Linked DNA regions of Cricetulus griseus. The protein of the gene in region 2 interacts with the protein of the main gene of each other region in a pairwise test. Links are inferred from orthologs where the notes say so. Each region holds a gene or a part of one and is shown on either strand. Other genes may lie near its edges.

Region 1 (4,678 bases), on a different chromosome or scaffold from region 2:
GCTCAGTACTTTGCAAGCTTTGATTTCGATCTGAAAGCTACCAGTTTTTTTAAGATTTATTTATTTATTATATATGCAGGGTTCTGTCTGCTTGTATGCCTGCAGGCTAGAAGAGGGCACCAGATCACATTACAAATGGTTGTGAGCCACCATGTGGTTGTAGGGAATTGAACCCAGGACATCTAGAAGAGCAGCCGATGCTCTTAACCTCTACCCATCTCTCCAGCCTGAAACTTATTAATTATTTTTTTGGTTTTTTTAAATATGTATATTGATATGTGTGTGAGCATGTGAGTGCCACAGCTTACTTATGATGGTCAGAGGACAACTCTTGGAAGTGGCTTCTCTCCTTCCACTATGTGGGTACCCCAGCTGTTGGTGCTTTTACATGTGAGAGCATTTGACTTGACCTGGTCCCAGATAAGAGTCGTAATACCAAGACATGCTCTCCTCTAAGGGGAGACTTCCAGTAGCAAAGGAGTGTTGCTCTGCTCATCCTCCTTACAAACAGCAGGGAGCCTTTAAAAGAGAGGAGGTGACCTGGCTGACCCAGAGGGTGGTGTTTATAAATAGTACCCAGCACCCCCTCCTTTAAAGCCTGTCTACCTAATCCTCTCTCTAGATTGCAAGTGACTTGACCTTTGAGCCTTAAAACTTGGGGTGTTCTTTTCTCTGAAAATTCTGCTCAACAAAATGCTGTTGAAGCAAAAATGTTTTCTTTATTTTTATTTTATAATTTTACGTGTTTGGGTGTTTTACCTACATGTATGCCTGCATGCCACTTACATGCAGGACTCACTGAAGTCAGAAGAGGGCATTGGATCCCTGGACCTGGAGTTAGAGACAGTTTCAATCTGCCATATAGTGCTGGGAATTAAACCTGAGACTTCTGGAAGTGCTCTTAACTGCTAAACCATCTCTCCAGCCCCAAAGCAAAAATGTTTTCAACCAGATGATCAGTCATCAGATCTTGTCTTTCACTTTTGAAAGCCAGCTGTTCTAATTGTTTGGGGAATTTTTGTTTGATCGATTTTTATTTTAGTTTGTTTTGTTTTTGAGATAAGGCCTCTCTCACACTCAATCCTGCTTCAGCCTCCTGCATGCTAAGATTATAGGCCTGTAAATCAGTTTGTTTGCTTGTGTGCGTGCGTGCGTGCGTGCGTGCGTGCGTGCGTGCGTGCATGCGTGCGTGCGTGCGTGCGTGTGTGTGTGTCCCTCAGTTCTGAGAATGAGCCTGGGGAACCCAGGACATTGAGAAGCTAGCCCACCAGAGGCCCAGCCTGCCTTTCCACTCCTAAAGCCACTGAACTTAAAGGAGCCTTAGTTATTTCAACTCAACCACCTTTGGGTAGAACTCTCTTTTGTATTTCTCTGGTTTCATATTGTTTATAGTAGATAGTATCTAATTAACGCCTATGACTGTGGAATGAAACATTTGATATAGACACTGGCAGTTTTCCGATTAGGGTATATGAAAGAAATGAAAATTGTTGAGTTAACCAAGAAATTTTTTTTTAAGCAGGGCATTGGTGGTGCACACCTTTAATCCCAGCACTCGGGAGGCAGAGGCAAGCGGATCTCTGTGAGTTCAAGACCAGCCTGGTCTACAAGAGCTAGTTTCAGGATAGGCTCCAAAGCCACAGGGAAACCCTGTCTTGAAAAAACCAAAAAAAAAAAAAAAGAAAATGTTTTTGTTTGAATGTTTGCCTGCATGTATGTATGTGCACAATGTGTGTGCAGTGCCTGTGGAGGCCACAAAAGGGTGCCAGACTCCCTGGAACTGGAGTTACAGGCAGTTGTGAGCCACCTATAACTTCAGTTTTAAGAGAGCCAATGCCTTCTAGTCTGTCTAGTCACCTGCACTTGTATATGCAAACCCACACAGAAGCACACACACAAGTACCTAATTAAAAATAAGGTGTGGGAGAATTCACTCAGCCATTAAGAGCACAGGCTTCTTCTTGCAGAGGACCTGAGTTTAGTTCCCAGCATCCACATCAGGAAGCTCACAACCAGCTTTAACTCTAACCCCAGGGGAGATAGATACCTCTGGCCTGCAAGGACCCCCCCACACAGACACAGAAACATACATAGTTTTCTTTTTTACATTATAATTACATCATGCCCACCTTCCCTTCCTCCAAACCCTCTCATGTACCTCCCCACTTGCTCTCTTTCAAATTCATGGCCTCTTTGTCTTTTCCTTTCCTTCCTTTGGTTTTTTTTTTTTTTTTCCTCCCAAGTGCTGGGATTATTGCACTGCTCAGCTGTAGCTTTTTTTTTTTCCTCTAGGCCTGAGGCATCTTTCTTGAACCTGGGCTGCCCATTCCCAGCTCCTCTCTTGGTGAGAGTTCAAAGTAGCAAGAACCCCAGGTGTAGTAGGTGCCAAGAATGTCAGTTATTTAGAATGGGAACAATTCAGATGACAGCAAACAGAACCAATTTGGGGCCAAAGTACAGTTTTTAGCCTTTTTACTCCTTCACTTGACCCCTAGAGTGGCTTTTTCTCCACACCAAGGTCACAGCTTTCTGTATGTCAGGCCTGCCCAATGCTTCTTGTGCATTAAACAGCTGGACCCCTCTGGAGTTGGGAGGTCAGGTCCACCCGGGGATTTGCTTCAGAGCCCTGGCTCTTCAAGCAATACTGTAGTTGTGCCTACTCTTTTGATAGCCACACCAAGTGGCTCTCCTAAAGTCCTTGAAAGGTAAATATCCAAAGGAGATGGTCGTGCCTTTTCTTGGGAGAACCTGCCAATACTCAAAGGTTTCAGTAGATCATGACTTTCCAAGTTAAAGGCATTTGTGTGTGTGTGTGTGTGTGTGTGTGTGTGTGTGTGTGTGTGTGTGTGTGTGTGTGTATGTATGTATGAATTCTTATGTAAAATGATGTAGATAAAAATCTCTCTGATGGCCGGGCATTGGTGGCACACGCCTTTAATCCCAGCACTCGGGAGGCAGAGGCAGGTGGATCTCTGTGAGTTTCAGGCCAGCTTGGTCTACAGGGCAAGTGCCAGGAAGGGTCCAAAGCTACACAGAGAAACCCTGTCTAGGAAAAAAAAAAAATCTCTCTGGTGGTCTCTGCCTCTTCCTTGAGGCATCTTCTGGACTCTCCTACATATACTTACCTGCTTTCATGGGAAGTTTGACAGACTTGCTACAAAATAAACAAAGTTGATAGGAGCAAAGTGAGACCCTACCCTGCACCGTAGGGGTCACTCTCAGAGCCTTACTTTTCCTTAATCATATTTGATCAGAAATTGGATGAATCTTCGGGATGCTGAAACAGGGAAGATACTCTGGCAAGGAACAGAAGACCTATCTGTGCCTGGGGTGGAGCATGAAGGTACTTTGCAGCCCCTTGAATGCACAAGCTGTGCCCAGTGCCAGAACAGGTCCTGGCATCAGGGAGCTAAGTAAACCCACAGCCGGTAGACAGGTGAGCCCCACAGGCAAATAGAACACTTCTTTTTCCACTTTTACATTTCTTTATTTCAGTTCCCCAAATCCACTGTAGCATTGGACCACACCCAGATCTGGATGTGATGGCTCATATCTGTAATCCCAGAGCTTTGCAGATTGAGACAGGAAGATCAAGAGTTCAAGGCCAGCCTCAGCTATATAGTCAATTCAAAGCCAGTCTTGAACCACATGAGACCTTATCTCAAAAAAAAAGAAAAGAAAAGCTGTAAGCTAAGATTTCAACTTATTCCAAAGGAAAATTTTCATTTTTATCTCTCTGGAGAAAAAAAGAAAAGGTAAAGGATTTCAGTGACTTGGAATATAGAGATGACACCCACACAGCCTGCTTAGCGGATACTCACAGCCTGAGCCTGCCAGCAGCTAGTTGAGGACTATGGAGACACCAGATCTGGTGTTCCTTGGCAACATGTCACATGTGTTGATCCATTAGATCTCTGCCTTTAGCTGGAATATAATGCAGTTACCAAGGCATTTAATGTAATTTAATAAACATAACGCCTTCTCTAAGGCAGCCAAAGGAACTCCCAGGAACCTAGAGCATCGTAGCCCTGTGGTTCTCATTTACAAGGGTACCTATATCTCTCTCTCTCTTTATCAGCCCGTGTGCCCAAGAAAATCCTCAAGTGCAAGGCAGTGTCTCGAGAACTGAACTTTTCTTCTGCAGAGCAAATGGAAAAATTCCGCCTGGAACAAAAAGTTTACTTCAAAGGGCAATGCCTAGAAGGTATTCTGCTACATGTGTGCCTGGAGCCAGAGTGTAGGAGGATGGGGCAAAAGGCAGATGCTTTGAGAATGCTAATTTTATAACTAATAGAATGTCTACAAACTGGGCATCCCCAGTGAAAACAAACAAGGCTGGACACAAAAGGGGCTTTGAGCTCTCTGACACTGGAAGCTTGAGTGCCTGTACCTGTGCCTGTATCTGGTGTGGTATTACAATGTGGTCTTGGAAGAAGCAGCTATGGTGAAGTGTAGTATAGAGCTGTACCTGCACATCATAAGCTGAAACTAGTAGGGACTCCCGGCATTGAGTAGTTCTCAAATGTAAGAGAACATGTAGGCGCCATAAAGCTAAAATTCCAAAAGGCTCTCTATCTCTATTTTAGTGCACATCTTGTTACTCCTAAGGAAACACAGCTGGGGCTGGAGAGGTGGCTCAGGGGTTAAGAGCACTGATTGTTCTTCCAGAGGTTCTGAG
Region 2 (5,440 bases):
AGAATGCAGGAAATGTGTTTCCTGCTGGAGACAAGAGATGCCCCCTTACTCTTAAGCCCTCCTCCTCCCATTAGTTAAAGGACAATAGGTCACTCTTTAGATCACCTGATTATTCTTGTGTTGCATATAGCTTTCTGCAGGAAACACAAGACAGCTGGGGCAGGCAGAAGGGAAGGACCATACAGTCCAGGGTCCCAGGCTAGCCACCCCATCCTCTTCTCAGAAACAGGAAGAAGGCAGATGATGAATCTCAGGTTCCCAGTATCTTCTGTGAGGCCACAGGCACTACACCTCCTGCTCCCAGCCAGAGACAAGTCAAGACCATCAAATAATTTACTGTAATTCAACCTGTGCCCCATAGGCACCCGAAGGGAACTGAGAGGGGTTGAGGACTGGGGTGCCAGTGGCAATAGGGACAGTTCATGACACAGTCTGTTCCAATTGTCCATGCGAAGGTCTTGGTCACCTCTGTCCACCATCCCTGGACTGGACTGGCTCCAGCATCGCTTCCTTCCTTCCTTCCCTTCTCTTTCCTTCCTTCCGTCTGCACCTCCTCCCTGCATCCGGCACCTCCACGTCCTGAGCCTGTGCCGGGACGGGCACAAAGGACACCACTGACCTCAGGCAGGGAGATTGGCAGGATGGGGGGGAGCAGGGACATCAGAGTGGATATGAAGTTCATCTGGCTAGCTGGGGCCACTGCCCCAGATGTCTGCTGGTCCCTGCCTCACCTGGTGTCAGGATAGCACACACTTGCAGCTCATGCAGCCAGGGCCACTCTCATCGGGTGGGTTCAGCTTCCGTAGTTTATGCTGCCGAATCTCACGTACTAGTGTGTAGAAGGCATCCTCCACACCCTGGGAACAGAGGGACTGGATCAGAGGGGACTCCAAGGAGGAAAGGGGTGCTGTTTGGGTAAGAAACTCCCTGCCTGGATCAGGTAACACCCCAACCCTGGAAAACAACCCTTCCTCGGCTGCACAACCAACACAAATAGGGAGCTGGGCTCTGCACATCTAAAAGGCACAGGACCACTCTCCTTAAGTAGGCTCACTCTGGAATATCCTTCAGAGCAACTCGACTCAGAACTCTCCCAGACCCCCAGTATGGCTCAGGTCTGAACACCCTGCCCATACTTAGGGCTCAAAACTAACAGGTACTCATAGGACACTATGAGGACAAGAAGGACTAGGCTCCTGGGTCACCGCTCCGGCCTGGCTCAGGGCAGCTCTCTCCATGGACCCCCTCCTGCCCTGGCGCTGTGTCAACCCAGAACTGCAGGGCATAAGCCCAGACCCTGGCCCTTGCCTCCCTCACAGCCCTGCCGTCTGGGAGACTTACAGCATGGGGGCCGCTGGGTCACATGGGTCCCGGGGGGGTCCCAGAGGGTCCCGGAGCTGGAGCCAGAGCCAGAGCGGCTGCCCTGTGTTGAGGGAGAGGGGCGATGAGCTCTGCTCCCTGGCTGGGGTGGGGTGGGGTGAATCCCTGACTAGCTATGGAGTGGGGAGCAAGCTCACCTGCCGGGTCTTGGCTGATGTTTCAATGTAGGGGATGCCATAGCTGCGGGCAAGGTCCTGGGCCTGCCGAGACTCAACAGTTCGAGCAGCCAGGTCACATTTGTTCCCCACCAGCACCATTGGCACATCGTCTGAGTCTTTCACCCGCTTGATCTGCTCCCTGGAAGGGGATGGGGAGTATGTGAGCCAGCTAGCAGGTTACAGGCATGGCTGTACCCAGGACACTCAGAAGACATAAACCCTCAGTGTGCACATGGAACCTTCCTCACCTGTGCTAGCCATAGGTGGCTCACCTGTACTGATGGATGTCTTCAAAGGACTTGGTGTTGTTGATGGCAAACACACAGAGGAAGCCCTCCCCTGTGCGCATGTACTGGTCCCTCATGGCACTATACTCCTCTTGACCTGCTGTGTCTAAGATGTCCAGCAGACATGTCTCCCCATCAATGACCACCTGTTTCCGGTAGGAGTCCTGTAAAAAAAACAGAGCTTAGGCGTTCCACCTCTCCTCAGAGAATCCACAGAGCCCACCCACCCTTGCACCTCTCATGTTCTGATAGATTAGGTGGCAGCAGACCCATACCACCTGCAAGACCTAGCTATGTGGGCCTTCCTGACTCTTCCATGACCACTGCCAGAGCCAGGTAGCCAGAGCTCACCTCTATGGTGGGGTCATACTCGTCCACAAAATGGTTCTGGATCAGCTGGATGGTCAGGGCACTCTTTCCCACGCCTCCAGCGCCCACCACCACGAGCTTGTATTCTGTCATCGCTTCTATAGAGGCTGCCACTCCAGGAGCTCCTGCCCCACCTGCCAATGAGAGCCACACTTATCCAGGCCCGGGCCACTTGAGACTGCTAGTAGATGCCTGACCCAAAGGCCCTAACCAGCATTGAGCAGGCAGGCCAGCCACCACAGTGGCCCAGTCACTCACCTGTGGCACCTCCAGCTGGGACAGGGAGGCCCCCCACCTCCTCCACCAGCACTTAATGGCTGTGTGAGGAAGCAGGGAGAGGCCCCCAAGGCAGGGCTGACAGCTGAGAGCTTCTCCCAACCACGCACCCAAATTAGAAGTCGCTAGGTAGGCAGAAAGCCTCAACGGGAGGTGCCTGAGGGCTGAGGCCACCCCCCAAAAACAGGTCCTGCCACGGCGGACTCAGCGTGCCCAGGCAGGCCAGTGCCAGCCTACAACCGGCTCCGGCCCGCCGGCATGTGGGTGCAACCGACAAGTATTTACTGAGCGCCTACTGCATGCCAGGCGCGGTCCGGGCAGCGGGGGAAGGGTGGCTGGAGAGGGACCCTGCCCTCCGCTGAGACAGACCTTCCACAAGAGGCCAGGGAGCCTTCAGCAAGCAGGGGTGGAAAAGCGGCTGAGGGTGTGGGAAGCAGGTGACTGCGGGAAAGACTCACAAGGGGCGCGAGGGGTGACTGGGGAACAGAAGGCCCTGATTGGGGCCTGAAGCGGGTGTCCTTGTAGCCCCGAGGCCGGAGCGTGATGGCCGCGGGGCGCAGAGTCTCCGGAGGCCCGGGCGGCGCCTCGCCGGGAGGGCGGCTACAGGCGGGGCGGGCCGGGCCGGGCCGCAGAGGCGGGCAGCCGGGCGCTAGGCACGCTGCCGGGGTGAGAGGAGAGGGGAAGCACCGATCACCTGCGCCCCGCGCCCCACCCCACGCCCGCACTCACCGCTTGCTGGAGTGACTGCCCCCGGGGCCGGGGCCGGGGCAGGGTGGGGGCGCGGACCGGCGCTGGCTGGGCCGCGCATGAGCTCCGTCCGCGGCGGGTGCGGCTCGGGCTGCGGGCGCCGGGCGCGGACGGCGGGGACTCGGCCGGGCCCGCGCTCGCCCCGCCCCGCTCCGCCCCGTCCGTCAACTCTAGACAGTCGGTGATTGGTCGAGCTCCGCCTCACCGCGACCTGTTGTGGTTGGCTGAGCGACCCATCCGTCAGGAGCCGCAGCTAGGCGGGGCTTCCTGGAGTAGCAGAGAGAGCGCTGTCGCGACCTGGGTACTGCACTCAAATGAGTGACGCCTAGTTCCGAGGTGCGGAAGAGAATGAGGGAACCCGAGATTCCTCCGGAGAGAAACTGGGGTACGCTCGGGTTGGGTCGCGGGGCCTGCCACAGAGCCCACACTCTGCAGCCGCTCCAGAGGCCCAAAGGCCCTGGGAGCGGAAAGGTCATTCCGACCGGGACCTGGCGTCGGGGACAGTCAGCACCGCGGACGCGGGATACCAGAGGAAGGCAGAACCCGCCGGAACCCCAAGCTGCCTGTTCTCGGAGGCCGAGGTGTAGCGAAGGCCCCATCCCGAGGCAGCATCGGCCCATCACACCGCGCTCCTTGTGCTTTGGAGAAGACCCTCCCTTACCTCCCCCAAAACTCGAGGTCCCAACCCTGCAGCAGCTCATACTGTGCCCCATTTGAAGAACGACCCCGGAAGTCAGAAAAGTTGGTATTAGGGCGAAATGAAATGTTCCATCCACTCATGCAAGTAGGGTACATCTGTGTCAGACGCAAATGACATGTTTGCAACTTTTTGAAAATTTCAAAGAAACGAGTAAGAACGTCCTCCTTAGAAAACCGACAGGGCTTTCTCAGGTGATGCAGGCCTGGGGACGCGCGCTCACGTGTATCCCGGGGTGAGAGCTAGGCTCGGCCGATGCGGCCAGCAGTCAGATAACCCAGAGCGGGACAGAAACCTCTCACGGGCAACTCTCCGAACCTCTGTGGGCGTCTTCTCATCCGTCTCGCTTGCCTGCCACTCAGGGGAACCCTGCCACCGGATCTGCCGCGTGTCCCGGCAACCGTTGCTAGGGGGCGGGGCTCATCCTGCCGCAGCCCCGGATGCCCGCGGCTCACGAATATTTGGGTATTCAAATGAGGCCCCGCCCCCGTTGCCATGGCGCCAGGGCCGCAACCCCACCGCGGAGGAAAAAATAAAAAAAACCCTCACTTGAGAGAGCGACCGCCTTGGTGGAGGGGTCCAGGGCTGGGCCCCTGGTCTCGGGCATCCTGGCCCACCCCTCAGGTGAGAGCTGCCTCTTCATGTCCCTTGTGCTAGGGGAAACCTGGAGTGGGGCCTACATCTTTTGGGGCAAGACACACTGGACTGAGTAAGCAATAAACCATGAAGTGCAGTGGAAAGAGGTAACTCTTACTACAAAAATGTATCTGGGAAAGACAGGTAAGAAGTGCAGGAGTTAGAGGTCGGCCAAACCTGGATGGAGGTCAGGGACGACGGGATGGTGACCAAGAAGAATGTTCTGGGCAGAGTTCTCACTACAGCCCAAAGACTGTTGAGTTCAAGGTCTGAAGCCAAACACAGACCTCTGTATCTTTAAGGAGAAACAGTAGGTGAGCCTGTTGCCAGAGGTATAGAGGCACCTGAAAAAACTCCTCCAGAGGTATGGGGAGGAGCTCAGGAGAGGCGGGCCTACAGAAGATTCAGAACCACACACCCCTTTAGGAGTTGAAGAAGCAGCAGAGTTTGGATGAGGACCGTGTCTTAGTTTGCATTGGGTGACCCAGAAGGACCCTTGACTGTCGTTGTCATCATCTAAACCTTATCCCCCATTAAAATGGTTACAAGGGATTCAGGACCAGGCCCCCAGCTAATAGCACTCCATTCCTGTACCTACTTGCTTCTGAGCTGACATTGGCCAGCTCAGTCCAGGTCTACAGACCAAGCACAGTGACATAGCCAGGAAGCTAATCTAACTCTCTCTTACAGGTATTACATGTAGACACATGTGGCCCCCTTGCCCGGATGTTTGACCTACAGCAGGAGCCAGCTACCTGCAGGTGGGACCTCAATCAGAGAAGGGGGTGTTGGAGGGAATGTCTGCTATCTTAAGCCTGAACCTAGATTTAAGAGACCATTAATGAAGAAAGATCTAGAGCCAGGGTCTGGGGCAGCCTGGGGAACTGTCA

Evidence for each region. The genes of interacting proteins can lie anywhere in the genome.
Region 1: the proteins of Hras (region 2) and Pde6d interact in a two-hybrid assay, tested with the Homo sapiens proteins (2 studies listed by BioGRID). The link is inferred for Cricetulus griseus from reciprocal best matches to the Homo sapiens genes HRAS and PDE6D.

What each region holds. Positions count from the first base shown.
Region 1 is NC_048595.1:438,216,689-438,221,366, reverse strand, and holds part of Pde6d (retinal rod rhodopsin-sensitive cGMP 3',5'-cyclic phosphodiesterase subunit delta), read left to right. Parts: intron 1-3,254; coding exon 3,255-3,343; exon of another isoform or gene 3,344-3,436; intron 3,437-4,078; coding exon 4,079-4,204; intron 4,205-4,678. UniProt on the Homo sapiens protein: Promotes the release of prenylated target proteins from cellular membranes. Modulates the activity of prenylated or palmitoylated Ras family members by regulating their subcellular location.
Region 2 is NC_048596.1:59,991,408-59,996,847, reverse strand, and holds Hras (GTPase HRas), read right to left. Parts: upstream 3,354-5,440; 5' UTR 3,279-3,353; coding exon 3,200-3,278; intron 2,329-3,199; coding exon 2,177-2,328; intron 1,990-2,176; coding exon 1,811-1,989; intron 1,678-1,810; coding exon 1,518-1,677; intron 1,424-1,517; coding exon of another isoform or gene 1,342-1,423; intron 858-1,341; coding exon 738-857; 3' UTR 732-737; exon of another isoform or gene 615-731; 3' UTR 316-614; downstream 1-315. UniProt on the Homo sapiens protein: Involved in the activation of Ras protein signal transduction. Ras proteins bind GDP/GTP and possess intrinsic GTPase activity.